Linked DNA regions of Ovis aries. The protein of the gene in region 1 interacts with the protein of each later gene in a pairwise test. Links are inferred from orthologs where the notes say so. Each region holds a gene or a part of one and is shown in the gene's direction. Other genes may lie near its edges.

Region 1 (4,279 bases):
CCTGGCACATAGAAAGTACTATTTCGAATGAATTCACCAAGTGAATGAATGAAGGAAAAACAACCAATTCACTACCTAGCAGTCTGGAAACTGTTTTGAAGTTGAAGTACAGTGCGCTAAGGGGGCACCTAACAGAGCAAGTGGCCCGAGCCTGAAGTGGAGCTGAGACTCCTCCGAGGAAGCTCAACTTTAAAGGCTGAGGAGGCATCAGTTTGGCAAAAAGCTGGAAAAAAGTATTCCACACAAGGGACAGCATATGCAAGTGCTGTAGGGCAGGAGAGAGCACCTGTGTTTGAGGGAATGAGAGTGGTTTCCACGTGGGTGGAATGGGTGAGGGAAGGAGGGTGGTGTGAAAAGAACAAAACCAGCCAACCACTTGTGGCGATGTCACGGAGGAGGAGAGACAGAGCCCCTTTGTAGGGTCTGGGGTAACCCTGACAAAGGACAGGAACGCTGTTTCTTCTCTGAAGCCTGGCGGGCAGGAGGAAAAGATGACGGGGAAGGACTGAGAAATGACCTGGAGTTTCTCTGTGGAATCAGGTCAGCTGGGGGGAAGACCCCGAGGAGGGCTGGGGGGTGGGTCAGCCGCTGTTAGGGAAGGAGGGAAGGGCTGGGAGCAGCATGCAGGGGGGAGGGCAGGGAGGGGGCACAGGCTACATACTCACAGGGGATCGGAAGGCCCCGCCGCAACTTTTGGAAAGTCCTGGTTGAATCCTGCAGAGGAAGCCGAGGGAAGAAGTCTGATTGGACCTAGAGGCCGCCTGGGGAGGAAAGGGGTACTGTGGGGGTGTGGAGAGGAGGAACAGCTGTGAACCCAGACTGGATCCGGTTGGGAAGGGGACAGAGAATGGTTCTGGGATCAGGGTAGGGATTCTCGAAAAAGGGGAGTTTCTGACAGGGAGGAGTGTTGGAGTGGATGGGGGGGCGCGGGGTGCGTCTATGGAAGTGATCTCTGAGGAGAGAAAGTCTCAGGCAGAGCTACAGGGGTGTCACGAAAAGGGACTGGGAAGAGATGTGCTTTCCCCCTGCTATCAGCTCCTTGCCCACCTCCTCAGCCCTGGCGTCCGGGGCCCCCGACTCGGGGGGCGCTGCAGAGAAGGAGGGTCCAGAGCGAGGACGGAAACGAGTCTCCTCAGGTCCGCCAGGTACTTGGAATCCTGTGACGGAGACTAGAAACGTCACAAAGCGTAGCTACGCACGCACTCCGCGAGAGCCGGCTCAGTCCTCTCCGCCGAGGTGGGCAGGACAGGCCGCTTATTCTGCGGCTGCGCTTTCAGTGTTTTTTTTTGTGACTCCACCCTCTCTTTCGGGCGAAGCGGCGGCTTTAGCCGTGCGTCTCCGCCCCGTATCTTTCCCACTACCCAATGGGGTTAGAGAACTGAGGCCACTCCAACACACCGCGGCCTCCTAGTACCGCCCCGGAGCCGCCCTCTCTGGGCTGAGTGGCACCGCGGCGCGGAGGCTGCCGGAAGCGATTCCGCAGAGGTTGACGGGATCGTGCTGATGTGGCCCCCCCTTCCCCCGCCCCGTCCCGGGATGTCGGAAGAAACCCGACAGAGCAAATTGGCTGCGGCCAAGAAAAAGGTAAAAACGTGCGGGCTCGCGGCTCCCTGACCCCTCCGAAGGCCGGGCCATGGCCAGAGTTTCTGTGCTGCCTCCAAGGCAACGGGGTGAGCCCCTCGGCGCCCCTTGGCGCCCCCCCCCCCCCGCCGCCAACAAAGTCTTCGCAGCCAGTCCCGCCCCCCGCTACCCCTCCGCCCCCCGGCTGCCCAGTCTCCGCCGCCTTCACTCGGCACCCCCAGGTGACTTTGGGCCGGTGACCCCCGGGGCTTCCCACACCAGGCTTGGCCTTCGTCTCCTGTCGCCCGGAACCGCACCTCCGCAGCTCCCTGGTCTCCCTAACTCCCGGACTCCGAAAACCTCGGTCCTGGCCTTTGCATTCCCCCCCGCCCCCCATCAACCGCCCCCCGCCCCCCGACTCAACGCGGAGCGGCTACTCGGGCGTTGCTAGGGATCAGTGCCGTGTGGCTACGTCATAATGCCCCTTGGAACTGTCATTAGTGCCTAGGAAACTCGGTGTTAAATTTTACCACCCAGTTCCCACTGTGTTTTCACATCCTTTCCCGTCTCTCTGGGTCCCGGCACCAGCTTGAAAAAGGAGACTCGGGGGGATATGGGACCTAGATCGGACCTGGGTTTCAGGCTCCTTCACCTCTAGACTTGTACCCCCATCGTTTGATGTAAAAAGCCTACACTTCCCCCAGTGATCTCCAAACATTGACAGTATTTCTGGGTGGCCATGGGGAGAAGGTGTTTGGTTTAGTTTGGTTTTCTCCCAGGTCTCTATCCAGAGAGACTTTCACATTTTTAATCGGAAGTTTCTACTTCACATTCTAATTTTCCATGATTCTGAGACTAGTGGGCCCGTCACTCAGCATTCAGTGCTCCTCTGAGGAGCACATCCAGGGAAACTGAACTTCACAACGGGGAATCTTTCACAAATCATCACCTCAACGTGGGGCAGCCCAAGTGCCACAGGATAAATATGGGACTGATGGATCAGTTTTGCTTGATTTTCTTGAGAGAGAAAAAACCTTTTATACTAATATACGTAGGGATGACATTTGCGTAGATTTGTATGATTATAATGGACTTCTCTCTGAAATGTGTTTGGGTTGTCCTCTTTCGGTTATGTTTCCAGAATCACTAGGGGTGTGTGTCTTCTCTACCTTCTGCCATCAGGATACATTGATGTAAAATTTTGAGAAGTACTGGTGTGCAGCTCTAATAGAGATGGAAGAAGGGACCCTGATGTCTGATCAAATGATTACATTTCCTCTGCTGCTGCTGATTTTGCCCCCTAGCAGCTGCTGATTGATGTTGTAATCCCAGAACTCAGAGTCAGAAGGCTGAGTTTAAATTCCGTTGTTGCCTTTCATTGCCACCTTTTGCTCCTAGCCACATTATCAGTCCATTTCAAGTCATTGAGGACGACAGCCCTTGTAGGGTTGTTGTGGCATTAAATTAGAAGGCAAAGAGTATTTTGTAAACTTTGTAAAGTAGGATGTGGATCCAGGGGGCGTATAGTTCTCATGAGCCTCACTGCTTTTCCTTTTTACAGTTAAGGGAGTATCAGCAGAAGAACAGCCCTGGTGTTCCTGCAGGAGCTAAGAAAAAAAGAAAGATCAAGAATGGCAGTAGCCCTGAGACAACCACTTCTGGTGATTGTCCATCACCTGAGGATGTGAGTCTTGCCTGACCGCCTTCCGGGGATGAGGCACTCAAGGGGCAACAATAGAGGGTAGTGGTTAAGATTGTGGAAGAAATGTCAGATATTGGCTAAGAAGTTTGGGTTTGAATTCTCCCTTTCTCTCTGCAAGGGATATGGTTTTAGGCAAATTGTTTAAGCTCGTTGGATCCCTGTTTCCACATTAGTAAAATTGGGGTAATACTGTCTTACACCAAGGAAGTTGAAATGAGATTGTCGTCGTTTTTATTATAATCCCCTAAAACAGGGCCTGGTGCAGAGTAGACTTTCAATAAAGAGTAGTTGCTAGTTGACTTAACTGCTCTGGTGATCTTCCCCAGCCTCATGGGGAAAGCCAGGCAGCTGCTTGCCCTCAGACTTTCCATTTAGAGGCCCCAGTAGAGCCCCAGAGTGTGGTGAGGAGAGGGCCTCAGGCAGTTGGATTAGGAGACCATCTGAGTTTTAAGACCATCTTTGCCACCAGCTTGCTGGGTGGCCCTGGGAAAATCACTTCCTCCCCTGGGCCTCAGTTTCCTCATCTGTAAAATGATACTGGTGGATCAGATTATTGCCTTTAAAGCTTATTTTTTAGCTGTAGCCCCTCTGCCGCCACTTCATTCAAGTGGACCCTGTTTCTGAAGTCTGGTTTTTAAAAGTCTAGGCCTGAGGGTCTAAGAAGCTATTAAGAGCTGCATTGTTCATCTGAGGAGCTATGTGACTGCATTGTTCAGGGGACTTCTCCATCTGTTTGTTTCCCTTGATTTCTGCCTTTGGCAAGGCAGCAAGTGGCTACTTGGAAAAATGACCCAGGCCTGTATTGATCCCTTCTGACTCCTTTCTCTCTTCTCCAGCATTCCGTTGCCCCAACCCGTGTCTTCTTCCTTCCTTGACTCTCTTGCCTCTCTAAGCCACTTTTCTCTTTTTCCCCTGCCCTTGTTTTTCCCTTTTCGCCTCCTGTAGATTCAGGACATTCTGGAGGTGCTGGTGTCCGACCTTAACCGCTCCAATGGGGTAGCGATCCCCCCATTGGAC
Region 2 (3,349 bases), on another chromosome or scaffold:
CCCTCTCACGTGGGTCTTAGAAGCCCAGGCAGGAAAGTGAATGCAGAGAGCCTCTGTGCTCCAAGGAACTAGCCTGAAAAAGAGATAAAGAGAGAAAGAAAGTACAACATGGGGCAGCCAAGCTTGTGCAAGACCCGTAACTTTATTTTCAAAAGGAGCTTATATACCCTAAGTGTTACATAATGGAAGATGCAGAGTCATGCAGGGGCAGCAGTCCCGGCCCTTATTGATACCAGGCTTTCTTTCTGCATACCTTTCTGTATACAAAAGGTCTCAGGTGATTTACATTATCTTCTGGACAGGAGACCTGTTAATATTTTATGGCTCTTTTCCTTGATAAATGTTAATCAACCAGAAAACTCATTTTCCCTTGAAGTGTTTTTTCTTTAATCTGCATCACCCTCAAAGTACTAAATAAAGTTACATTCCTACAGAACAAAGGTACAGTGGGTTACAACAAAGAAAGTACTTAACTCAAAGATCTAATGTTGCTAATGCCAGGGCTACTACCTGTTTTCTCTATATACCAACTATATCAATAAATAAAAGATACGAAAACTCGGCAGCAAGTATTGGCTCAACAATGAAACCCTTAATCAGTTCTATTCTAATGATTTTTAACTCCTCGAAAGGCTCTACATTCCTAGAATGTTTTAAGCTTCCTGTGCCTCTCACAGTTGGGAAGCCGTAAACAATCACATGCGTAGTTGAAAAAGTCCAGATAAACCTGTCAGGCAAGTTAGAAAGCTATCAGAGGGGTTTGAATTGAAACACTCTTATTATGCCCAGGAGACTTATTAACCAAAGCTCTACATTGATTTTCTTCAGAGAAAGGTGGTCAGGGATAGCCCCCTGTTAATGTCAGAGGAGTTGGTGAAAGTCATAAAATAGTAAGACAGATAGACTCTGGTTTTTGGGGTAGATGCTCGAGCAGTTCCAGGGGATCCCTCGAGTCCTGATCCGCCTTGCCCGTCAGGTCTCTCCGCATGACCTTGTCATGGGTGGGATCTCCCGTGCTGGCTCCCAGCAGCTGGTGGGCTTCCCCTGAGTAAACAGCTCCCAACCCACAATCGGGCGGCTGGGGAGTCCTGACACAGAGACCATGAACCTGCAGTCCCCACCGCCCAAAGCTGTCAAGTGGGGTCCCGTTGGCACTTCAGTTCCTCTTCTCACCTGTTTCCTGCTTTAGCCTTTGTCAACAGTGGCATCTGCAGTTTTATCTGCCTGGGGGTATAAAACTGAATAGCTCCTAAGGGAATCCTTGGTCAGCTACTAGTTTTCAGCCACAAGTGGACTTTTGAGACCATAGAAATGACCACGGCAGGAAAGCTATTCCAGATATGTAGGCATGGGCCCAGCGAGTCCTTCCTCCAAACCCTCATCCCCACAGCTGGCTAGGGGTTACTGCTCAGTTAGGGGTCTCCTCTGCACTCAAATCAAAGACAAATGTTTGATGGGGAAGAACTAAAGAGGATAGGTCTGGAGGAAGACCCTGTAGTAAACCCCACAAAGTAAACTTAGGGGTTCGAGTTCAGAAAATTGTTTCAGCAAGTGGAGCCCCTGGACCTGAGACTTCCGGGTGCCTCTGGCACCAACAAAGGTCCATCTAGTCAAGGCTATGGTTTTTCCAGTGGTCGTGTATGGATGTGAGAGTTGGACTATAAAGAAAGCTGAGCACAGAAGAATTGATACTTTTGAACTGTGGTGTTGAAGACTCTTCAGAGTCCCTTGGACTGCAAGGAGATCCAACTAGTCCATCCTAGAAGAGATCAGTGCTGGGTGTTCATTGGAGGGACTGATGTTGAAGCTGAAACTCCAGTATTTTGGCCACCTGATGTGGAGAGCTGACTCATTTGAAAAGACCTTGATGCTGGGAAAGATTGCAGGCAGGAGAAGGGGACAACGGAGGATGGGATGGCTGGATGGCATCACCAACTCGATGGACGTGGGTTTGGGTAGACTCCGGGGTTGGTGATGGCCAGGAAGGCCTGGCATGTGCGGCCCATGGGATTGCAGAGTCGGCCACAGCTGAGCGGCTGCGCTGGCCTGGCTGGAAGGCCCAGGACCCAGGGGCAAGTGAGTGTCCCTGCAAGGTGTCCCCTCAAAGTGTGAAAGGTCACTCTAGCTTTTCCAATAATCTGTTTTTGGACTAATCCCTTCAGTTCTGTCTTGAAAGGATTCCTATTAGTTCGGCTCTAAATGTGAATTTGTTGTTCAGTCATGTTCGACTCTGTGACCCCATGGACTGCAGCATGCCAGGCTTCCCTGTCCTTTCCCATCTCCTGGATTTTGCTCAGATTCATGTCCATTGAATTGGCGCTGCTATCTATCTCATCCTCTGCTGCCCCCTTCTCCTGTTGCCTTCAATCTTTCCCAGTATCAGGGTCTTTCCCAGTGAGTCAGCTGTTCACATCAGGTGGCCCAAGTATTGGAGCTTCAGCTTCAGCATTACTTCACTGCAAATGTTGATTTTGTTTTAAAATTTTTTTTTTGTTTTGTTAATGATTGTTAACTCCCACAGGGAGTTCTTGATTAATAGATTTGGGATAGCGCAGACAAGTTTGCCTTTCTATAACAAGGTGTCCAGTGTTATGGGTGCTGGGGAAAAGGTGTTGATTTGGGAGTTGACTTTGGGTTCTTTCACTTACTTGTGATTCAACCTGTTTCTCCATCTGAGAAAAATTAACAATTGTACCTACCCTTTTCGGGATTAACATAAGGTTTCAGTAGGATTTTAAGATGATCTACAGTCCTGTCGACCTTTTGGTTCCACTTACCCAAAAGGCAACCCACTCCAGTACTCTTGCCTAGAAAATCCCATGGACAGAGCCGCCTAGTGTCCATGGGGTCGCAAAGAGTTGGACATGACTGAGTGACTTCACTTTCACCCAACCATCCAGTGTTCATAAAGTACACACCAGGTCTATGCCTGGCACTGATCACAAACTTGGCTTTGAGTTTATATCCCAGGTGTTACATTGACATTTTGCTGATTGATTCCTTCAGTGATGTTCAAATGTTCATGGCAGGAAGTTAGGAAAACTAATAAATAGGCCCTTTACTATTTCAGGGTGACCAGGGATTTCCAGATGAACCTGAAGAAAGCAAAAAATCTGATGCTAATAACCAGACAACAGAACCTGAGCTTAAGGAAGGGAGCAAAGTGGTAGCTCTCTTCAATTACGAGGCTACCCAGCCAGAAGACCTGGAGTTCCTGGAAGGGGACGTAATCCTGGTGATATCAACAGGTAAGTGCTACTCCCAGAGTGCAGAAACTAATGTACATGTTAGCAGCAATAAATATAAGGGAAGAGAGAAGAAAACATCAATCAGCTACAAACTTTAGCCA
Region 3 (3,966 bases), on another chromosome or scaffold:
ATTGCACTGCCCATATTGATGTGACATCTCTCTAGCCCATCCACTGTTAATAATAACAGGGTGAGCCTGTTTGTTTAATAATCTTGAATGTTGAACTTAATAGGTGACCTGACAAGATGGAGATATGTTTTTGGGGCCCATTACCTGTGCCGGAATCACTTCTCTGACTTCTGTGTCCTGCCATGGAGGTAGCTGTTCTTGAAGTGGTTGTATAATATATTAAATAAAATTTTAATGGAGTAGTTTGAGTAATTGTTATCAAGGGGTTGGTTTGCGTAGGCCATGGAAAACCCTAGAGTGTACACGGGAGGATTCTGTGAACTAGGAGTTATCTCCCTGGGGTGATGTTTCTGTATTGAGTGAAGGAAGTGACCACAGTTCCCTCTTCCCCCAACTTAGAGATAAAGTCACACCACTGAATCAGTGTATAGTGAGACATCTGCTAGAGTTCTTCACGGGAGTGTTGTTGATACCCAACTTCCCAAGTCCGATCATGTTGTTTAAACTGTGCCCTATGGAGTTGGTGATGGAGAGGGAAGCCTGGCGTGCTGTGATTCATGGGGTCGCAAAGAGTCGGACACGACTGAGCGACTGAACTGAACTGAAACTGATGGATTGAATGACCCTAATGTACTCAGCTGGAGGAAAAATGAGTGAACCAAAGGGTGGTAGCATTGCTTCAAGATAAAGAGACAAACTGTAAAAAGCGATTTGTATTTGTGTGTTGGGAAGGCTGCAATCTTTTCAGGAAAGTGCTCTGAGCCCGTATTTTTAGTGCTTGCGGTGAATCACTAAAGTGAAGCATTTGAGACCGTATAACAGCGCTTCAGCCTTAAATGTTTGGAAACTCCTGGAATGCACGCAAGTTTATTAGACTAGATCAGAGAGCACTGATCTGAATCTTATTTTCCTCTTGTTAAGATGAGTTGAATCTGCCTGTTTTGAAAGCCAGGACGAAAACGTTTGCAGGCGCCCTTACTTCCGTGTTGCTTCATACTTCCCTTACGCATGCGCCATTTCCTTGGCGCGGAGGCGGGGCTGACAATCCTGTTTTCGAAGCCCTCCAGTTCTTCGCTCGTTTAGAACACGAGACTCTAAGCTGATTGGAGGCAAGCTTGCTTTACGGCTCAAGGCCGCTTTTTACGGCATTTTCCGGCTTCCCATTCACTTCGCAGTGAAGATGGCGTCAGGCAGTGGGGTAGGTGTTGTGTGTGAGGAGGCTTGGAGTCGCGGGTAGAGGGTGGCTTCTCGGCGTTGAATATTCCACACCCAACTGGCTTCCCGACGCCTCTTCGCAACATAATGGCTCCAGTTCAAGAGCTCCCCAGTGAGGCTCTCGCGCAGGGTCTGTGGAATCGGGGAGGGCTCGGGTTGGGGTCCTGAGGTAACCTTAGCCTCCTGGTGGTGTCCGGAGAGGCTTCACTCTCTTCAGGTCCTGGGCCGCCTTGGCAGCGTGGACGCGGTTTCTTCAGTTTTTCCAGGAGTTGGACACGATTAGCGGCGAATCTTAAGCGCATTTTTCTTCCCCCAGACAAAAAACTTGGACTTTCGCCGAAAGTGGGACAAAGATGAATATGAGAAGCTCGCCGAGAAGAGGCTCACGGAAGAGAGAGAAAAGAAGGATGGTGGGTACTTGCTTAGTTAAGTGCTAACTGTGTTGTAGAGGCGATGCAGTGGTTGGAGAGTGAGTGGGTGGGGAGTTGAAATGCGCTGTCCTCCATACTTCTGTAATATCTGGCAGAGTATTCCCTCCCTAGTTCTCGATTTCTTCAGATATAAGGTGAAAGCGAGATGGATTGAAGTGCTTTTGAGGTGCTTTCCAGCTCTGTGATTTTCGGGTTCCTTGCTCTGCCTTTGCTTGGCTCATTTAGTACTTTCCTCCGGTACGGAGAAGAGATTGGAATCCTTAGTAGCGACAGGAGGAGGAGTATTTCGCTGCTGTGTGTTAACTACTATTGAAGAGCCTCTTTTTCTCTCAGCAGGAAACATGGTATTATTTAACCTAGCGTCTAGGACTGTTCTCTGTGCGATAGACAGTGTCAGGGAGTTGGTGCTCCTCTTCTAGAGATTCCACTATGTAGAAAAAAATATCTTCCTTTCTCATCTGTTTTCAAACCATACATTCTTCTGCCTTCTTCCACACCAGGTTACACACTCTAAACCTTTTAGTTTTTATGTAACTTGTATAATAGTGCTTGGCATGCAACAGATTATTTCCCAAATATTGGTCTCCCTTTTAAGAGTAGTCTTGCTGTTCTTTTAAAAGGTTGCTTTTTGTGCAGATTCACAACTCTTGCCTTCAGTTAATTAATGCATTTAAAAAATTGCTTTTAGATTCTTTGGCTTTAAAGTGGAGAAAAGATGTAGAGAGTTAAGAATTGCTTGTCATTTTTTTGTGTTGAGCTTCTCCTTAGCTGCTGCTACAAGTGACTGTTGTGTCCTTTGCTTCATGTTTCACAAAAGAAATGAAAGTAGACCTCTGGATTTTGGACTTTATGCATTTCTTTTCCTTTCTGGTTAAGGAACTCTAATAATGAAGGGACTTCCTTCCCCATTATATTTCAGGAAAACCAGTGCAGCCAGTTAAGCGAGAGCTTCTCCGGCATAGGGACTACAAGGTGGACCTGGAATCCAAACTCGGAAAGACAATTGTCATTACCAAGACTACCCCACAGTCTGAGATGGGAGGGTGAGTGGCTTTTCATCTTTCTCTGCAGCCAGGAAATGTTACGCTCAGTACCTGCCCCCAGAATAACAACCTTGTTTCCTGTAATTCCATCCATTTCCCTCCAGGGTCTCTAGTTAACATGTCTGTAAGAGGGGGTTACTCTGTAGGCTTCTTCATATTAGCACTATATCTACTTCTTAATATTTTAAAAGGGATTATTTGTTCTCCTTCCAAAGGAAGAAATGAAGGAAAGGACTACTCAGGAGATTTCTAGGGGAGAAATTAGGTGCAACTAAAATGGAGCCCAGAAAATGTTGACCATGAATAAAGGGAGTTGAGGTTCAAGACTGGCTACAGAAGTTGTAGTTATGTATTTTCTGGTTGTGCACCTTCCTCCTAGACCCTTACTTTTAGGAAGAAAGGTCTCACAAGAACTCTTCATCTTTTTGCCTAACACTACTACTCTGTCTAGGTGTGTTTTCCAGCAGGAGCATAACACAGATAACAATAAGTGACACTTCTCTGAGCTGCTTCTCTGAGTAAACTCACTGTTAACTTTCCTCTTTGTGTTAGTTATCTATTGCTATTTGTGTTAATACATTAACCCAGTATTAGCAGCATAAAACAAAGAATAGCTCACAATATCTCACATGGGTAAGTAATATGGAAAAGGCTTATCTAAGTAGTTCTGGCTCAGGGTCTCTCACAAAGCTGACATCAGGGTGTCTGCTGGGTCTGCATTCATCCGAGGTGTAAGTGGGGCTGGAGGATCTTTGTCCAAACTGTGTCACGTGACTGTGATTTGGAGGCCTCAGTTCTGTGCTGTATGGGCCACTCCATAGTGCTGCTCACAACAAAGCAAGTGGCTTCCCCAGAGTAGGTGATCTACATGAACAGACTAAGCAGAATGCATGTTTTTTTAAAAAAACCTAATCTTGGAAGTGACGTAGCATTACTTTTGATATAATTTATTGATCATATGGACTAACCCTGGTACAAATTGGGAAGGGCCTATATAGGGTAGGAATATAGGTGGCATCAATGTGGGGGCCATCTTGGAGGCTGGAAGCCACACTCTTCTAAGAGCAAAGGCTTTGTGGAAATGAGAAGTGTCTCCTCTAAAAAGAATTTTTACCTAAATATTATCAGTTTCTTGGCTGAAAACGATAAAATCTTTATAAGCAAATTTGAAGCTAGTGTTGTTTCTTTTTGTTTTCTAGGTACTACTGCAATGTCTGTGACTGTGTGGTGAAAGACTCCATTAACTTCTTGGATCACATTAATGGAAAGAAACGTAA
Region 4 (4,079 bases), on another chromosome or scaffold:
TATTGAATACTGGAGCCAAAAAGGTAGTCACTTCATGTGAACTGTTGCGCAGCACATGAGAAGTGTGAAATAAATATCTGTGAAATGAATGAACTAATTAAACTGATGTCCTGTTTTCCACAAAATCAGTAAACAGTAAGAAAAAGTACTCTGAGAAAAGATGCCAGCTTCTGTAGTTGACATGGGCAAATTAGCACCTTTAAGAGGCTCACAGCTGGCTAAAGAAAGCAATGGGCAATTGTGATACAGCCTGATAAATGCTATGCCTGTCTGCTAAATTCTCTCCAGTCTTGTCCAACTCTGTGACGCTATGGACTGTAGCCCAACAGGCTCCTCTGTCCACGGGATTTTCCAGGCAAGAATACTCCAGTGGATTTCCGTGCCCTCCTGCAGGGGATCTGAACCCAACAATCAAACCCATGTCTCCTGCAGCCCCTGCATTGCAAGTGGATTTTTTTTTTAAATCGTTGAGCCACGGAGGAAGCCCAATAAATGCTAACAGGGAGGTAAATATAGGGTCCTCTAGGATCACAAGAAAGGAGTTGTCTTGTATGATTTCATAAAGAATCGTAGGCAAAGGTAAATCTGAACGTGGTAAATATCTAGACAGAAGGAACAGAAAGTGGCACAACTCAGCAAGAGATGAGAATTTTTAAGTAGTTCATGTTGCATAACATTCTTCCAGAGTAACTGAAGAATTTGATGACATAATAATATATGCGAAGATATCATGACCGCTGAAGTGCCATATGAAAGTCGCAGAGTCGTGTCCAACTCTTTGTGACCCCATGGACTATACAGTCTATTGAATTCTCCAGGCCAGAATACTGGAGTAGGTAGTCTCTCCCTTCTCCAGGGTATCTTCCCAACCCAGGGATCAAACCCAGGTCTCCCTAACTGCAGGCGAATTCTTTACCAGCTGAGCCACAAGTGCCATATGTTATTATAAACAAGAGCAGACCAGCATAATATTCAAAGAAAAAGAAAAGATGATTTCGGAGGACTTCTAGTGAAGTCTTCTCTGACTTAGACTTAAACGCTAGACCCTCTGACTTTTCCCCCTACCCCAACAAAATGGATGGATTTAGTAGTCTCACGGGGCGCTGGGACAGAGGAGGCCTTAACAACGGTTCTCATTGGCCTTTCAAACTGAGCCTTTTGGACAATTGGCTGTGAAGGTTTCCAGAGGCCACCCCACAACGCTGATTGGATGAGGAGTGGCCAAGTGCCCACCTCCTCTACAGTGCCGTTTAGTCTTGTTGCTTGGCAACCGATTTGCGTCTTCTTGCCCAACCGGCACCCAGTTAATTACACCTGTGAAGCGGAGACGGTGACTGGTTAAGAACACCCTGAACTTACGCTTCTTACGCCCACTTCACGCATAAGCAGCACGAGTGGTCTCAGGGTTTCATCCACATTTATCTTCAGGCTGGGCTGTGGGCTGGCGCGGCAAGGACACACGGCAGTGGAGAAAGTGCTCAAGTCTTCCTTCTGAAGTCCTCCTTTAGAAGAGTCAGAGGAGAAAAGAAAGTCGCTGCTACGTGCCCAACTTAGGTCCACCTCTCTTGGGAGTATATATACAGCATTCTGAAGCTGGAGAAAGCAAGTATTTATGTCAGTTAACTAGGTATAGGAGAGTGACCCATAACCTCAGACACTTGCCTCAGAGCGAACCGTAGTAGTGAGGGGACAGGATCAGAGGATTTTTTGCCTTATCATGTACAGCAGAGCTTACATCTTGCTAAAAAGAGAATTCCAAGAGTTGAAGAACAACAATTATGAGGTGAGTATTGGAGACGTGGAGGTTGTGTTTCATTGGGGTACGAGTTTTTAAAAGCAGTTTAATCTGTGTTTATTCCACAAAGCATAATTGAGTTAAATCTAATTTGCACTACAGACTTGTTTAATGAACCTATTTCAGTATAATAATCTGTTTCATAATAATTATTAGTATTTCATAATAGTAGTTAACAGTATTGAGCACACTGTGCTGAGTAATTTATGGACTTTAATCCCTGAATGTAACAGTCTATCAGGTAGTAAATAACCATTAGTTATTTAGTTAGTGAATGCAGGGTTGCATTCACTAATTATCAATTGTGCCTGCATGTTCAGTGGCTAAGTTGTGTCCGACTCTTTGCAACCCCATGCACTGCAGCCCACCAGGCTTCTCTGTCCATGAGATTTTTCCAGGCAAGAATACTGGAAAGGGTTGCCATTTCCTTCTCCAGGGGGTCTTTCCCACCCAGGGATGAAACCGAGGTCTGCTGCGTTGGCAAGTGGATTCTTTACTCGATACCACCTGGGAATCCCCTCAATTATCAATACAATATTGTAAAGTAGGTAGTGTTTTGTTTTACCTACCACAAACCTAAGCCTCAGAAAGCTTTCAGTAAATATTTGGGCTCGGGATTCCATCACAGGGTTTTTTGACTCCAAAATCCCTTGCTCTTAAGTCTTGAGTTCTTTTTCTTCCTGTCTAGTGCACTTTTTGCCAATTGCTGTGACATATAACACATAAGTGTCTTTCCCTTATAATTTCATTTTAAAATTTTTATTTATTATTATTTTTGGTTTGTGCTAGGTCTTCATTGTTTTGCACAGTAATACTTTCTTTTCCCTCCATTGGAATAATGCCTCAAGTGTAGGAAAATTTTATTTTTACATATGAGCATAATTTTAGAGTTGTGTTTTTCTTAATGAAAATTTACTTCATGCCTAGTATAGCATCTGTAGGGTTTTTTTTAAAGCTATGAGGAAATACATGCTTTCCAACTATTCCTTTCTTTTTGAATTTGAATCTTAAATTGTCTATAGAATTACATAAGTCACATATTCCATTCTTGACCTTCCTGTCCCATTTGTGATTTTCATACTAATGATTTACTTAAAATTTACTATTGCATGTATTTTCTGGAATCTACCTTATCTTCTGTGTAATAAGACAGTATATAACGCCTTCTCAAGTCAAACATTTTTATCAATAAAAGAAAATTTAGAGCTTTTGGAATTCATTGTAACCTAATATCTGACTTCCCAAACTGCAATAAATATTTAATCTTTTTTTCTGCTTTAATTTTTCTTGATGTTTAGGGTATTACTGCCTTTCCTATAAGTGAAGATATGATGCAATGGGATGTTGACATTGAAGGTCTACAGAATACAATTTGGCATGGTTTGTGTTTGGGAAACCAATTTACTTTTTTATAAAAGCCTTTATATTATTAGCCTAATTTCTTTAAGGTTGCACTGTATAAATTTTCTAGAATTCCTAAAGTTTTCACATGTTAATTTTTTCATTGTATGGCTTAATTTTTTGCCATTTGTCAACATGGATGGATATTTTAGGTTTGAATATTTCTTTATGCCCAGTCTTAATGTTATCATGTTTTTAAGAAGCAGACATAGGAAAACATATCAACTGAGAATATCATCTAATAGTCTTCCATGAATTCAGAGAATAACCAACAAAATGCCTGATGGAAAAATCCCACAATTATGTCTCTTTTTTTTTTTTCTCTATGATTTTCCCACAGATGTCCATAAGTCAAGTTCTCAAGAAGACTAGGCAACCATAAACTTTAATGACCATGCCCTCTTAGAGTTGCAGATTAACAAGATATATTTGCTTAGTGAGATAGGGGAGAAAAGCATGTAAGTGGATAATTACAATAAAATATAACATGTCCTGTTATGAATTTTGAATGGAATACTTGGGAGGCAGTGATTAGTTAATTTTGCCTTGGAGAGTCAGGAACAGCTTCCCAAGGAAGTGACACTTGAGTTGGGTCCTGAAGAATGTCTGAGAATTCACCAGGTTTAGAATCAGAAGGCGGAGAAGGCAATGGCACCCCACTCCAGTACTCTTGGCTTGAAAATCCCATGGACGGAGGAGCCTGGTAGGCTGCAGTCCAGGGGATCACAAAGAGTCGGACACGACTGCACGACTTCACTTTCAGTTTTCAGTTTCATCCATTGGAGAAGGAAATGGCAACCCACTCCAGTGTTCTTGCCTGGAGATCCCAGGGACGGGGGAGCCTGGTGGGCTGCCGTCTCTGGGGTCACACAGAGTCAGACAT
Region 5 (4,145 bases), on another chromosome or scaffold:
CCGAAAGGACTGTGGGGGTGGGGGATGGCGCTGACACGGAGCCACACTCACCGTCTTCCCGGCGTTGTCCAGACCCAGGATCAGGACGCAGTACTCGTCCTTCTGGAACATGTACTTGTATAGGCCCGACAGCAGCGTGTACATCCTGCCCTGGGCACCCGAGATCGGTCACGGACGAGACGGCCCGCACCGTGGACAGAGGGTCCCGCTGCCCGCACGGCCGCTCACAGCTGGAGCCCAGGGCCCTCCTGGCTCTGCCTCCCCTCCCTTCCCCTCCGCCCGCCTTCGCCTCCGCAACTGCTACAGAATCGCCCCGGCGCTCCAGGTGCCCACACGCCCTCTCCGGCCCGGCCAGGGCGCTCTGTTCGCAGGCAGAGGGCAGCCTGCCCCGCCCCGCTTCTCGCTGCTCCCCCGCCCGGGCTCCCTTCAGGCTTTGCTCCCCTCGGGTCTCCTTAACCAACGCCCCCTTCGCTCGCGGCCCGCCGCGAACGCCTCTCAGAGGCGGGGCGTCTGAGGGCTGGTGACTGCCCAGAGCAGTCGTGAGGCGGGCGGGCGGCGCGGACAGACTGCGGACCGGTCGCCGAGCCTGGGCCCAGCTCCACCCACCCGCCTCGATGTACCTGCGACCGTCCGGCCGGACCGCCGAGCCGCAGAGCAGGGGAACCGCCTTGCGCCTGACCCACCGACCCGGCGCTAAACCCGCGCGGCGCCTGACGGGACAGGCGCCGGTCGGCCGAGGAGGGGGCGGAGCCTTCCCGGCAGCCCCCGCGCCAGACACTTCCGCCGGCGGCGGTGCTCGGGCGGAAGCGCCTGTGGGCTGCAAGGGCGGAAGTGGGGCGCCGGACGGCTTTGGCCGGTGAGGCCGGCTGGCCGTCTGTGGCGGCGGCCGGGAAACCGCTCGGAGGAGGGCCTGGCCGGGGCGAGGGGGTCTGGGCAACGGGGCCTTGGCCCGAGGTTGCTGGCCGAGCGGAGACGGGCGGCGCGAGGCCGCAGAGGTGGGCCCGGCGGGGGACACAAGACTTGGACGCATAGACCCCGGAAGAGCTTGAAGGCAGCTCCCGGGAAGGGAATCGAGGCCGTGGGGCTAGTGGCCAAGGGCCAGCTTTGGCTCCTCCTCTCGGAGCTTGAAATATCTCCACGTCCAAACGAAGAGACTGCTGTTCACGGTTCCGCAGGCTGACCACCGAGGGTTGCAGTCGGCCAACGCTCAGTGTCGGCGTTGTGGGGGCCGTCTGTCCCAGACTCATCTGGCTTCTCTTCTCCGCAGCTCTGGCTCCCACGCCTCCCCTCTGAGGACCCAGGGACCCAGCCCCGCAGGCGCGGGAAATCGGCCCCTCCCGCCAGGATGGACGAGGAGAGCCTGCAGACCGCCCTCCGGACCTACGACGCGCAGCTGCAGCAGGTGGAGCTGGCCCTGGGCGCTGGCCTGGATCCCTCGGAACTGGCCGACCTGCGCCAGCTGCAGGGAGACCTGAAGGAGCTGATCGAGCTCACTGAGGCCAGCCTGGTGTCTATCAGGAAGAGCAAGCTGCTGGCGGCGCTGGATGGAGAGCGCCCAGTCCAGGAGGATGCTGAGCCTTTGGCTTTCCAAAATGCCATCGTGGAGACGGCGGAGGTGCCAGTAGCCCCCGGGGCAGAACTGGAGACTGTTCCTTCGAGAGAGACTGGGCCAGGACCCACGGAGCCTGGGCAGGAGGAGGACGACGGGGAGGACGAGGAGGGCGGGGCAGCACTGAGTGGAAGAAAGGTGAACGCCCCCTACTACAGTGCCTGGGGCACCCTGGAGTATCACAACGCCATGGTAGTGGGCACCGAGGAGGCGGACGACGGCTCCCCGGGCGTGCGCGTACTCTATCTCTACCCCACTCACAAGTCCCTGAAGCCCTGCCCGTTCTTCCTGGAGGGGAAGTGCCGCTTCCAGGAAAACTGCAGGTAAGGCTTGAGTTCTCTAGGCCACTAGCAGGGGGCGGGGGGGGGGGGGGGGGGGGGGGGGGGAGAGGGCCGCGGGGACTTGCGGACAGAACCTTTGCAGTTCTTTGCAGTTTTGTTTTTCTTGGCCGAGCAAAATGCTGAGAAGAAGAGAACTTTATAGAGGCAGGGGGTTCTTCTAGCAGTATCCTTCATTAGGGGGTCTTCTTGACTTTTCCCCAGGTATGTCAGGAGTACAGAAGGGTTTATGTTGAAAAGAATGGAGCCCTCCCCCCCCCCCCCCCCCGCCGCCTTTCCGTGACCTGTCCTATGCTTCAAAGTGAAACTTCTAAAATTTACTTATATTTTAGATATTTTATTAGAGAAGTGGTCAAACACCCAGGTAACTAGGGAGAGTAGCATAGAGACTGCTCACATGTCATGGTAGGTCAATGTTTTGCTGCTCTTGTATTCTCTGTTCCTGCCCCTGGAGTATTTTAAAGCAGGTTGTAGGACTTACTGGGCATTTTGCCTGTAAGTACTTCAGGATGCCGGCTTAACCTAAGTGACAAGGATGTTAAGTTAAAAATTACCTCCGTGTCACTCTCACACCTCACCAACTTAACAGCAAGACCTTGTTCGTATTTAATCACGAATGTAATGATGTTGTGTTTTCCTTATGTACATTATGTTTAATTTTGCTTCTTTTTCCTTTCCAAGGAATATTTCCTGAGATTTCTAGTAGATGATTTTCTTCTTTAATCAGTAGTCCAGGGTAACTATTCAATATCTTCAGTTGTTTGGTTATCTTATTTCTTTACAGATTTTTGCTGGGCCCAGAGTCTTATTTGGTGCGGTTCCCCTTTTTTTCCTTTTTCCTCATGAGTTTTGTGAAAAGTGTAGTGTACATACAGGAAAGTGCATGAATCAGTCATAAGCCTCCTTGAGCTTCCACAGGGTGGGTGCTGCCTTGTCCCCCAGCAGAGAGTTAAGGATCAGAGCAGGGAGCCCTCCATCCTTCCTGCCATGGTCCCTCTGGAGGGTTCCTCCCCGTCCCTGTGCCACGTCCATGTGGGGATGAGAACTGACGTATTCATGTGCTGCTTCCTCTGGGCAGCACTGTTCCAGGGGTTTCACGTGTATTCACTCACCTGGCAGCAAGCCTGCCAGGTAGGCCCTACAGCTGCTGTGGTTGCTGGACCCCCGAGGGGCAGTCCGGCTCTGAAATGCTGCTGCCTGCTGTCAGCTTCAGGCCTGACCCATGCAGCCCACCCACCCCACCACCACCCAGGTGTAACAGTTATTTTGTTGCTTTTACTTTGGATTTTTAGTTTAAAAATTTACTTATTTAAAATTTTATTGTAAAGATAAAGTAGTGTTGAAGCACCCTGGGACCTGCTTTCTATCCTCCCCTCCTGGGAGGCTTGCCACAACTATGATGAGCATCTCTCTAGCGTGTGAATCCTTTACAGGCACGTGTGTCTGTGAACAGAATATTCTTGTGCTTTATTTTCTAATTAAACTATGTTGTACAGCCTGCTTTGTTTTGCAACTTGCTCTTCTCACTGAGCGTGTCTGGGAGAGAAGTTTACATAGATATTTATAGGACTGTTTTGTGCATTTTAACTACTATTATTTTTCCTCATTCATATGCCACAGTTTATTTTGTCTCCTGGTGTTTACCAGTTTTTATTTACTAAAAAGAACACACTGAAAATCCTAGTACACATCTTTTGTCTCTGTTGGGAATGTCCCCAGTGTGGATGGCATGAGCATTTTCTTTCCTTGCGCGCTGTCTGCTTCTAAGCCCCTGGTCTGCTCTGTCGTGGTCACCCTAGTCACTCTTGGTCACGTTCTCTAACTTGGGGATTCGTACCTACTGAAGTGAAGAGGTGGTCTTGATTGAACTTGTATTTCCTCGATTATTAGGAAGATTGCATATTTTTTCATACGTTGTTCTAACTTTATCGCTCTGTGTTTCAGTATCCTTTTCCATAAAAAGGAGAGGAGCATGTCTTTTGCAGTTGTTGAGAGGCTGGAATGCATTAATATGCATAAAAAAACAGTACCTAACATGGAATAAGGACACAGTGGACTTAAAATTTTTATCTTGTTGTGAGAAAGGTCAAATCCAGAAAGTAAAGACAGCACAAGGGATCACTGTAACACTCAAGTACTCAGCTGAAAACTACAAAGCTGCCGGTTACTCTGGGGTCCTCTGTGCCTCAGCCCAAACA
Region 6 (4,284 bases), on another chromosome or scaffold:
TCTGCTGCAGATCTTGGTGTCTCATCCTTTGACTTGCTGCATGTTAAGCAAATGAAACTGGTTTTGTCACAGGTTCAAAACCTATCAAATTTTATGTCAATTAACCTGCAATCTCCTAAAGAAAAGAAAGATTTGCTTAAATTAATCAGAATTGGGTGGGGTTGTTAGAGGGACTGACCTACATCCGTGAACCAAGTGATGCTAAAAGGGGCAAAAGGATTATTTTCAGGAATGTCTACAACTAAGAGGGGCGTTCGATTTTTTTTCTTGCCTCACGGGGCATCTTAGTTCCCTGAACAAGTATTGAACCTGGAAGCAGTATATGAGAGTCCCATTTCCTGGACAAATTCACATACAGTTGGTATGGTCAGACGTTTAATTAACTTTGGCCATGCTAATATGTGTGTAGTGGCATTTTGCCATGATTTTAACTTGTATTACCTAAAGACTAATCATATTAAGCGAGGTTCACATGCTTATTTGCCATCTGTATATGTTCTTTGGTAAAGTTTGTGTTCACATCTTTTGTCTGTTTTTTCCTCCACAAAGTGGTGGCCACAGGCCTTCTCTCACCCCTCCCCATTCCTCCTGTCACTAGAGTGGCACTCTGCCCATGGGCTTCCATCTTGGGGGCTTTGTCTCCAGACACTCTCACCCCATTTCAAACCTAGGGGGAGCCTCATTACTCCCCTCTCATTGGCTAGTGTCCCCGCCCCCAACACACACCCTATGCCTTCAAAGCTTCCTCAAGTCCAGGCTCCTACTGCCCCTCCACTCTCCAGGAGACCTGCCCTTCCCTACTTTGGGGGTCCACCAACCCTATCATGCTCAGGGCCCTGATACCTCCCAGGGTTCCCAACGACTCTCAGGGTGCCCCCACTCCTCAGGCCACCATACTCTTCCAGTTCCCCAGCAGGGAAACATTCAGTGCAGATTGACTGACTGTCTACGATGTGGAAGGGACTTCCCAGGTGGCTCAGTGGTCAAGAATCCGCCTGCCAATGTAGGAGTCTCAGGAGACACGGGTTCGATTCCTGGGTGGGGAAGATCCCCTGGAGGAGGCCATGGCAACCCATTCCAGTATTCTTGCCTGAAGAACCCATGGACAGAGGAGCCTGACAGGCTACAGTCCATGGGGTCACAAAGAGTCAGACACGACTGAGCGACTTTCCACGTAAGATGTGGAAAGCTCTGTTGGAGGCTGCAGTACACCTCGGTAAACTTGGGTTCCGGTTTTGCACCCCATTTTTAGTTGTGAGAGCTCAGGTGGGGCCTTTAACTTCTCTGGGCCTCGACTTTCCCCTCTGACACTGGAATAACAACATCCCCGAGGTGGAAAGAGTTTTCCCTTGGTGATGGGAAAGAGAGGCAGCGGCTGAGGCAGGGCGAGGCCAAGAGTGCGCGCTGGCTCCCAGGGCCAGGACTCCTTGGCGGCTGCCAGGTAGGTCACCGCGCTGGTTGGGGCGCTGAGCACGGGACCGGCCGGCTTCAGCCACGTCCAGGCCCGAGCTGGCCACCAGGTGAGCGCTCCCGAGCGCTCCCAACGCGTTTGCGGGCGGCCGTGCGTCCACCAGGCCAAGTACAGGTCATGGAGCGGCGCCCGGGGGGCGGCACGGACCCTAGGGGAAGCAAAGGAGGTACCGGGCTCGGGGTGGGAGGGTAGTGGGCACGTCCCTGCCAGCCCTCACACTTCCTGTCTGCTCCTCACCTTCTCCTTCTGACAGGTGGTAAACAAAGCCGCCCTGGCGCCCGAGCCGCGGCGGCGGCGGCGGCGGCGGCGGCGGTGGAGGGCAGCGGCCCAGCGACCCCAGCTGGGCTCGAGGAGCCGCACCCCCATCCACACCTGCGCCGCGGGGCGGCGCACCAGACCCCGGGACTCCCAGGAGTCTCCGGGGAGATGTGCTGGAGGGTTCTGCCCAGGATCACTGGGGACACCTGGGCACTGGGCGGGGGGGGGGGGGGGCTGTTAGAATCGGGGGGGGGGTGTGTGTCTGTTGGATTGTGGGAGGTTAGGCTGGAGCCTCTGGGGATAGGTGGAGGGGCCATCTGGGGCTACATGGACCAGCAGGGTTACCTAGGACATCTAGAGGGGCATCGGGAGTGCCTGGGCCACAGGGAGCAGACCGTGTTCTGTTGGGACATCTGGGAGAATCGCAGTCCTTCTGGATATTGGGGGGAAGAGTTTGGAATCTGGGGTTGTGTCGGGGGGGGCCCGTCAGAAACCTCCAGAGATATTCACAGGGTGTTCGGAGGTGTCCAGGAGTGCTGGAGTTAAATAGCTCGCCAGGGATATCGCGGGAGCAGGCGGGGGTCCACGGGCATTCCCGTGATAGTCGGGGGTCCAGGGAGGTGAAAGGCACAGTCGGTGACCTTCGGGACTCTGAAAAGGAGTGGTCTCGGGGATCTTGAGGGGAATTCTAGGTCTTTGATCGTAGGGGGCCGTGAGGGTTCGCTGAGACTCAGGGTGGGCCCTGATCTGTTCTTTTCACTCGCGCAGGCGGTGGCGGTCCCCAGCCCGAGGGCCCCCGCGCCAGACAGTTCCTGGCGCGGCTGGAAGCTCGCCCCCTGGCGGCCCGAGCTGCGGCCGACGTGGCGGCGCTGGTACGCAGGGCCGGCACCACCGTGCGCCTGCGCCCCAAAGAGGGTCAGTGACGGAGCGTGGCCTTCCGGGGGCGTGGTCGGAGTGGAGGGTGGTTCTGAGGAGGCGGGCCCAGGATTGTTAGTTACCCACCTTGGTGTGAGGGCTTCCCTGGTGCCTCAGAGGGTAAAGCGTCTACCTGCAATGCGGGAGGCCCAGGTTCGATCCCGGGTCAGGAAGATTCCCTGGAGAAGCAAATGGCTAACCCACTCCAGTACTCTTTCATGGAAAGTTCCACGGTCGGAGGGGCCTGGTAGGCTACAGTCCATGGGATCGCAAAGAATCGTACACGAGTGAGCAACTTCACTTCTCTTGGTGGGACCAATGAGTGTGAATATGGAGGCCCGCGCTTGGCTGTGATTGGAGGGTCCTGGTTTTAGCCTAGAATATTCCTCTAGGAGGTGACATAGAGAGGGTTATTGGAGTAGTTGAACGCTGCAAGAGTAGCTGTGGGTGCGGAGCTTGATATTTATTTTCGTCAGCGGAGTTTCAAGTGGTATTTCTGAGGAGGCCGTGCCTGGAGAGGGTTGGGGTCGGGCACTGGCTGAGGGGCAGGCCTGGAATGTTAGTCAAGGGGGCGGAGTCTATAAACGCACTGGGAGTGTGGCTGGAACTGTCAGGAATAATAGGTTGAGGTTTTATAGGCTAACTGGTCTTCCCTCGTAGCTCAGTGGGTAAAGAATCTGCCTGTAATTCAATTCAGGAGACCCGGGTTTGATTCCTGGGTGGGATGATCTCCCAGAGTAGGAAATGGCAACCCACCTAGTATTCTTGCCAAATCCCATGGACAGAGGAAGTCTGGCGGGCTATATAGCGCATGGGGTAGCTATAGTGTATGAATCGGACACGATTTAATGACTGCTGCTGCTGCTAAGTCGCTTCAGTCGTGTCCGACTCTGTGCGATCCCATTGACGGCAGCCCACCAGGCTCCCCCGTCCCTGGGATTCTCCAGGCAAGAACAATGGAGTGGGTTGCCATTTCCTTCTCCAATGCATGAAAGTGAAAATTGAAAGTGAAGTCGCTCAGTCGTGTTCGACTCTTAGCGACCCCACAGACTGCAGCCCACCAGCCTCCTCCGTCCATGGGATTTTCCAGGCAGACTTAGTGACTAAAACCCGGCTAATTAGAGAGCAGGACCTGGAATCCTGGAGAAGCACGGCGTAGGGTGGGCCTAAGGGTTTAAAATGAGGGGCAAAATCTATGTTTTATTTGAGGGATGTAGGAAATTTGGAGGATTGCTTGAATATTTGTTGCCAGGGTTGTTAGCTAAGAAGGTGGGATCAGGATGGTTATTCGGGTAGGTGGAGCCTGGATGATTACTAGGGTCTCGGCTTACATAGTAAGAATGGTGAAACCCGGATGTGAATTCAAAGAGAAGCGGCTAGAATGTTTATATAGGGAAGAGCCCTATCCAGTTTCACAGGACCATCATTAAAGATTTTCTTTAGCAATGTGGGAGACCTGGGTTTGATTCCAGGAAGATCCCCTGGAGAAGGGAATGGCTATCCACTGCAGTATTCTTGCCTGGAAAATCCCGGACCGAGGAGCCTGGCCAGCTACAGTCCATGGGGTTGCAAAGAGTCAGATAGGACTGCAGGACTAACACTAGTCTCTTTTATTCTTTAGCCCTTAGAATACCAGAAGG
Region 7 (2,852 bases), on another chromosome or scaffold:
GTTTACACATCACCTATATGCTCTAAGTGCAAAAATAAAGTCAAGATAGAGCTTTACCATTTGACTTTTCAAAACATAGATCCTAACATCTTCCTGTGTTTTTTCATGAACAGGGTGTTATTGTTGGTTTTTTCCCCAAAGGTATGAAATGAAAACTGTCTTTTTTTAAAATAAAAATTAGAACAGAAGAACTCACGGCTGAACAGCAAGATCCTGGATTTAATCTCAACATCTGATTTTCCACAGTATATGGAGGAACAGTATATGACTGTGACTCTTTTTATTTCTTCAGATTTTTCCTCTCCTAAGATCTCTCGTATTTGTTATTATTTGACGCTCTGCTTGTAGCTCTGAATCATTTTCATTCTTTTTCCTCCTCTAACTCTGCTTCAAAACTTCTGTAACTTATTTGCTGTGAAGTCTAAAATCTCTTCTGCAAGTGAGCGTACTGGGTGCACCAGACAGCCATGGACCCCAAAGACTGCTAAGGATGCCATATGTTGCTAAGAAGTCTTGCTAATTTGCTCTATCAGCTGAATGGGGTGTCAGAGAATTTTCTTTTCCTTTATGAACTCAGAGTGTTTATGCTGTGACCTGTATCAGCAATTCTGCTTGGATCGATCACTTTCAGCTTACCATTTTTCATCCCTCCGTGAACGTTGCACCTAATTTTCCCTGTAATCGGTTCAACAACTGTCAGCTGTTCATGTTTCAACTCTTTCTGCCAATAACTGCTGGAAGTGATTTAATGCAGCTGGAGAATAAACTGACAATCATTATAGCCTGCAAAGTGTGAAAAAAATTTCATTGCACTATTGTGATCTGAGGACCGATGACGCCCAGCGGATGAGACTTGGAGTGGGGGTGGACGGGTAGGGGAGAAGCCTGCTTTATAATAATTAAAGAACTTGTGGAAGAGGGTGATTCCTGGGGCAAGTTAACTGTTTATCCGGTGAACCCTCTTCCAGGGCTTGTTTTATAAGAATTCACTGTAAGTGCCCAAGGGAAATACCTTCATCTGAATGGGGTTTCGGTGCTGCCTGCGCTCAGATGGTTTCCTCAGCTGATAAAAGTCCTCGCTAAGGAACCGCACAGATGTGGCTCCTTTGGGGAAGATGAAGGCAGAGGAGACAAACACGGGGGCGGAGCGGAGGGGCAGCAGCCAGTGATGCCTGCAGGCCGACGGGATCCCCTCTTCCAGGCCGGCTCACCTGCGCTGCAGAAGAGATGCCCTCGCCCCTCCCGCGGCGCCCTCACCTGCCCGGCGACCTCTCGCCGTCGTCGGGGGACTCGCGGCCCTGCAGCAGCCCCTGCGAGCTCTTGGGGGGCATCTTGCCGCGGGCCCCGCGCCTCCGGCGTCGGCTAGCCTGGTGCTCCATCGACTGGGAGCAGGTGCGTCTACTACGGAGGCTGGGCGCGGGGGGCTTCGGCTCAGTGTACGAGGCCACCTACCACGGTGTGCGAGTAGCCGTCAAGCAGGTGAGCGGGTGCTCCAAGAACTCGCGGGCGTCAAGGCGCAGCTTCTGGGCCGAGCTCAACGCGGCCCGGCTGCGCCATGTTAACATCGTGCGCGTGCTGGCGGCCAGCACGCGCCCGCCACCGGGTTTCGACAGCCTGGGGACCGTCATCATGGAGTTCGGGGGCAACATCACCTTGCACCAGGTCATCTACGGCCCCACCGGCTGCCCCGGGGACTCTGGCGCGCAGCTGGGCTTGGAGAGGTGTCTAAAGTACTCCCTAGACGTGGTCAGCGGCCTGCTGTTCCTCCACGGGCAAAGCATTGTGCACTTGGACCTCAAACCGGCCAACATCCTCATCAGTGAGCAGGATGTCTGCAAGATCGGGGACTTCGGCTGCTCCGTGAGGCTGGAAGACCTGCGGAGCCCGTGGACGCCTCACCACCTGGGCGGCACCTACACTCACCGAGCCCCGGAGCTCCTCAAAGGAGAGCCTGTTACACCCAAGGCCGACATCTACTCCTTCGCCATCACCCTTTGGCAGATGAGCACGCGGGAGGCGCCCTTCTCGGGGGAGCGGCAGCACGTGCTCTATGCCGTGGTGGCCTACCACCTCCGGCCCGCTCTCCGGGCACCCGTCTTCACCGACTCGGTCCCCAGGAAGACGTTGGCGGGCATCGTCCAGCGTTGCTGGGCGGCCCTTGCTCCCGAGAGGCCGAGCGCAGAACTTCTCTTGGGGGACCTCCACGCTTTGAAAGAGGAGCTGGGAGGACTCGAGACTGGATCCAAATAAGCGTCTTTGTTTCTGATCGTTTTTAACGAAGTGAAGATTTAGCGGGGGAAAAAATCATATAGGTAGGATGGATTTTTAGAAAATAAAGTCCCTTAAAAACTCCCTTTATCTCGAATGCTTTTTCTAAGACAAACCGCAGAGCGGTCGTGGTGCTCTTTGTCGTTATTTAGTCGCTAAGTCTTGTCCGACTCTTTTGCTACCTCATGGACTACAGCCGGCCAGGCTCCTCTGTCCATGGGCTTCTCCAGGCAAGAATAGGAGAGCAAGTTGCCATGCCCTCCTTCAGGCAGTAACAGGTATTCCTGAATAAACTGTAAAAAAAAAAAAAAAAAAAAAATAGTTGTCTGCAACCCCAACAAAGAGGACAGCAGCTCATTACTCTTGTTGTTTTCATTAAAATGGCTATTGTTTGTATTTGTTGTTGTTGTTGAGTCCCTAACTAGTGTCTGACTCTTTGCTGACCCCATGGACTGTAGGCCACCAGGCTCCCCTATCCATGGGATTTCCCAGGCAAGAATACTGGAGTGGGTAGTCATTTCCTCCTCCAGGGGATCTTCCTGATCTTCTGGACCCAGGGATGGAATCAGGGTCTCCTGCATTGG

Evidence for each region.
Region 2: the proteins of GOLGA2 (region 1) and NCF2 interact in binary tests that used the Homo sapiens proteins (3 or more experiments, as listed by UniProt). The two-hybrid records come from large-scale screens. The link is inferred for Ovis aries from reciprocal best matches to the Homo sapiens genes GOLGA2 and NCF2.
Region 3: the proteins of GOLGA2 (region 1) and ZMAT2 interact in binary tests that used the Homo sapiens proteins (3 or more experiments, as listed by UniProt). The two-hybrid records come from large-scale screens. The link is inferred for Ovis aries from reciprocal best matches to the Homo sapiens genes GOLGA2 and ZMAT2.
Region 4: the proteins of GOLGA2 (region 1) and UBE2U interact in binary tests that used the Homo sapiens proteins (3 or more experiments, as listed by UniProt). The two-hybrid records come from large-scale screens. The link is inferred for Ovis aries from reciprocal best matches to the Homo sapiens genes GOLGA2 and UBE2U.
Region 5: the proteins of GOLGA2 (region 1) and ZGPAT interact in binary tests that used the Homo sapiens proteins (3 or more experiments, as listed by UniProt). The two-hybrid records come from large-scale screens. The link is inferred for Ovis aries from reciprocal best matches to the Homo sapiens genes GOLGA2 and ZGPAT.
Region 6: the proteins of GOLGA2 (region 1) and GPKOW interact in binary tests that used the Homo sapiens proteins (3 or more experiments, as listed by UniProt). The two-hybrid records come from large-scale screens. The link is inferred for Ovis aries from reciprocal best matches to the Homo sapiens genes GOLGA2 and GPKOW.
Region 7: the proteins of GOLGA2 (region 1) and MOS interact in binary tests that used the Homo sapiens proteins (3 or more experiments, as listed by UniProt). The two-hybrid records come from large-scale screens. The link is inferred for Ovis aries from reciprocal best matches to the Homo sapiens genes GOLGA2 and MOS.

What each region holds. Positions count from the first base shown.
Region 1 is NC_056056.1:8,010,824-8,015,102, forward strand, and holds the start of GOLGA2 (golgin subfamily A member 2), read left to right. Parts: upstream 1-1,479; 5' UTR 1,480-1,503; coding exon 1,504-1,584; intron 1,585-3,121; coding exon 3,122-3,244; intron 3,245-4,207; coding exon 4,208-4,279. UniProt on the Homo sapiens protein: Peripheral membrane component of the cis-Golgi stack that acts as a membrane skeleton that maintains the structure of the Golgi apparatus, and as a vesicle thether that facilitates vesicle fusion to the Golgi membrane.
Region 2 is NC_056065.1:64,044,095-64,047,443, reverse strand, and holds part of NCF2 (neutrophil cytosol factor 2), read left to right. Parts: intron 1-3,070; coding exon 3,071-3,248; intron 3,249-3,349. UniProt on the Homo sapiens protein: Subunit of the phagocyte NADPH oxidase complex that mediates the transfer of electrons from cytosolic NADPH to O2 to produce the superoxide anion (O2(-)).
Region 3 is NC_056058.1:49,485,854-49,489,819, forward strand, and holds the start of ZMAT2 (zinc finger matrin-type protein 2), read left to right. Parts: upstream 1-1,166; 5' UTR 1,167-1,180; coding exon 1,181-1,198; intron 1,199-1,531; coding exon 1,532-1,625; intron 1,626-2,565; coding exon 2,566-2,689; intron 2,690-3,888; coding exon 3,889-3,962; intron 3,963-3,966. UniProt on the Homo sapiens protein: Involved in pre-mRNA splicing as a component of the spliceosome.
Region 4 is NC_056054.1:39,650,965-39,655,043, forward strand, and holds the start of UBE2U (ubiquitin-conjugating enzyme E2 U), read left to right. Parts: upstream 1-1,279; 5' UTR 1,280-1,717; coding exon 1,718-1,783; intron 1,784-3,093; coding exon 3,094-3,175; intron 3,176-3,536; exon of another isoform or gene 3,537-3,654; intron 3,655-4,079. UniProt on the Homo sapiens protein: Catalyzes the covalent attachment of ubiquitin to other proteins.
Region 5 is NC_056066.1:53,744,868-53,749,012, reverse strand, and holds the start of ZGPAT (zinc finger CCCH-type with G patch domain-containing protein), read left to right. Parts: upstream 1-1,345; coding exon 1,346-1,932; intron 1,933-4,145. Other genes in the region: ARFRP1 (ADP-ribosylation factor-related protein 1), read right to left, coding at 52-144. UniProt on the Homo sapiens protein: Transcription repressor that specifically binds the 5'-GGAG[GA]A[GA]A-3' consensus sequence. Represses transcription by recruiting the chromatin multiprotein complex NuRD to target promoters.
Region 6 is NC_056080.1:55,987,511-55,991,794, forward strand, and holds the start of GPKOW (G-patch domain and KOW motifs-containing protein), read left to right. Parts: upstream 1-1,484; 5' UTR 1,485-1,637; intron 1,638-2,497; 5' UTR 2,498-2,644; intron 2,645-4,265; 5' UTR 4,266-4,284. UniProt on the Homo sapiens protein: RNA-binding protein involved in pre-mRNA splicing. As a component of the minor spliceosome, involved in the splicing of U12-type introns in pre-mRNAs.
Region 7 is NC_056062.1:36,287,818-36,290,669, reverse strand, and holds MOS (proto-oncogene serine/threonine-protein kinase mos), read left to right. Parts: upstream 1-1,160; 5' UTR 1,161-1,227; coding exon 1,228-2,250; 3' UTR 2,251-2,352; downstream 2,353-2,852.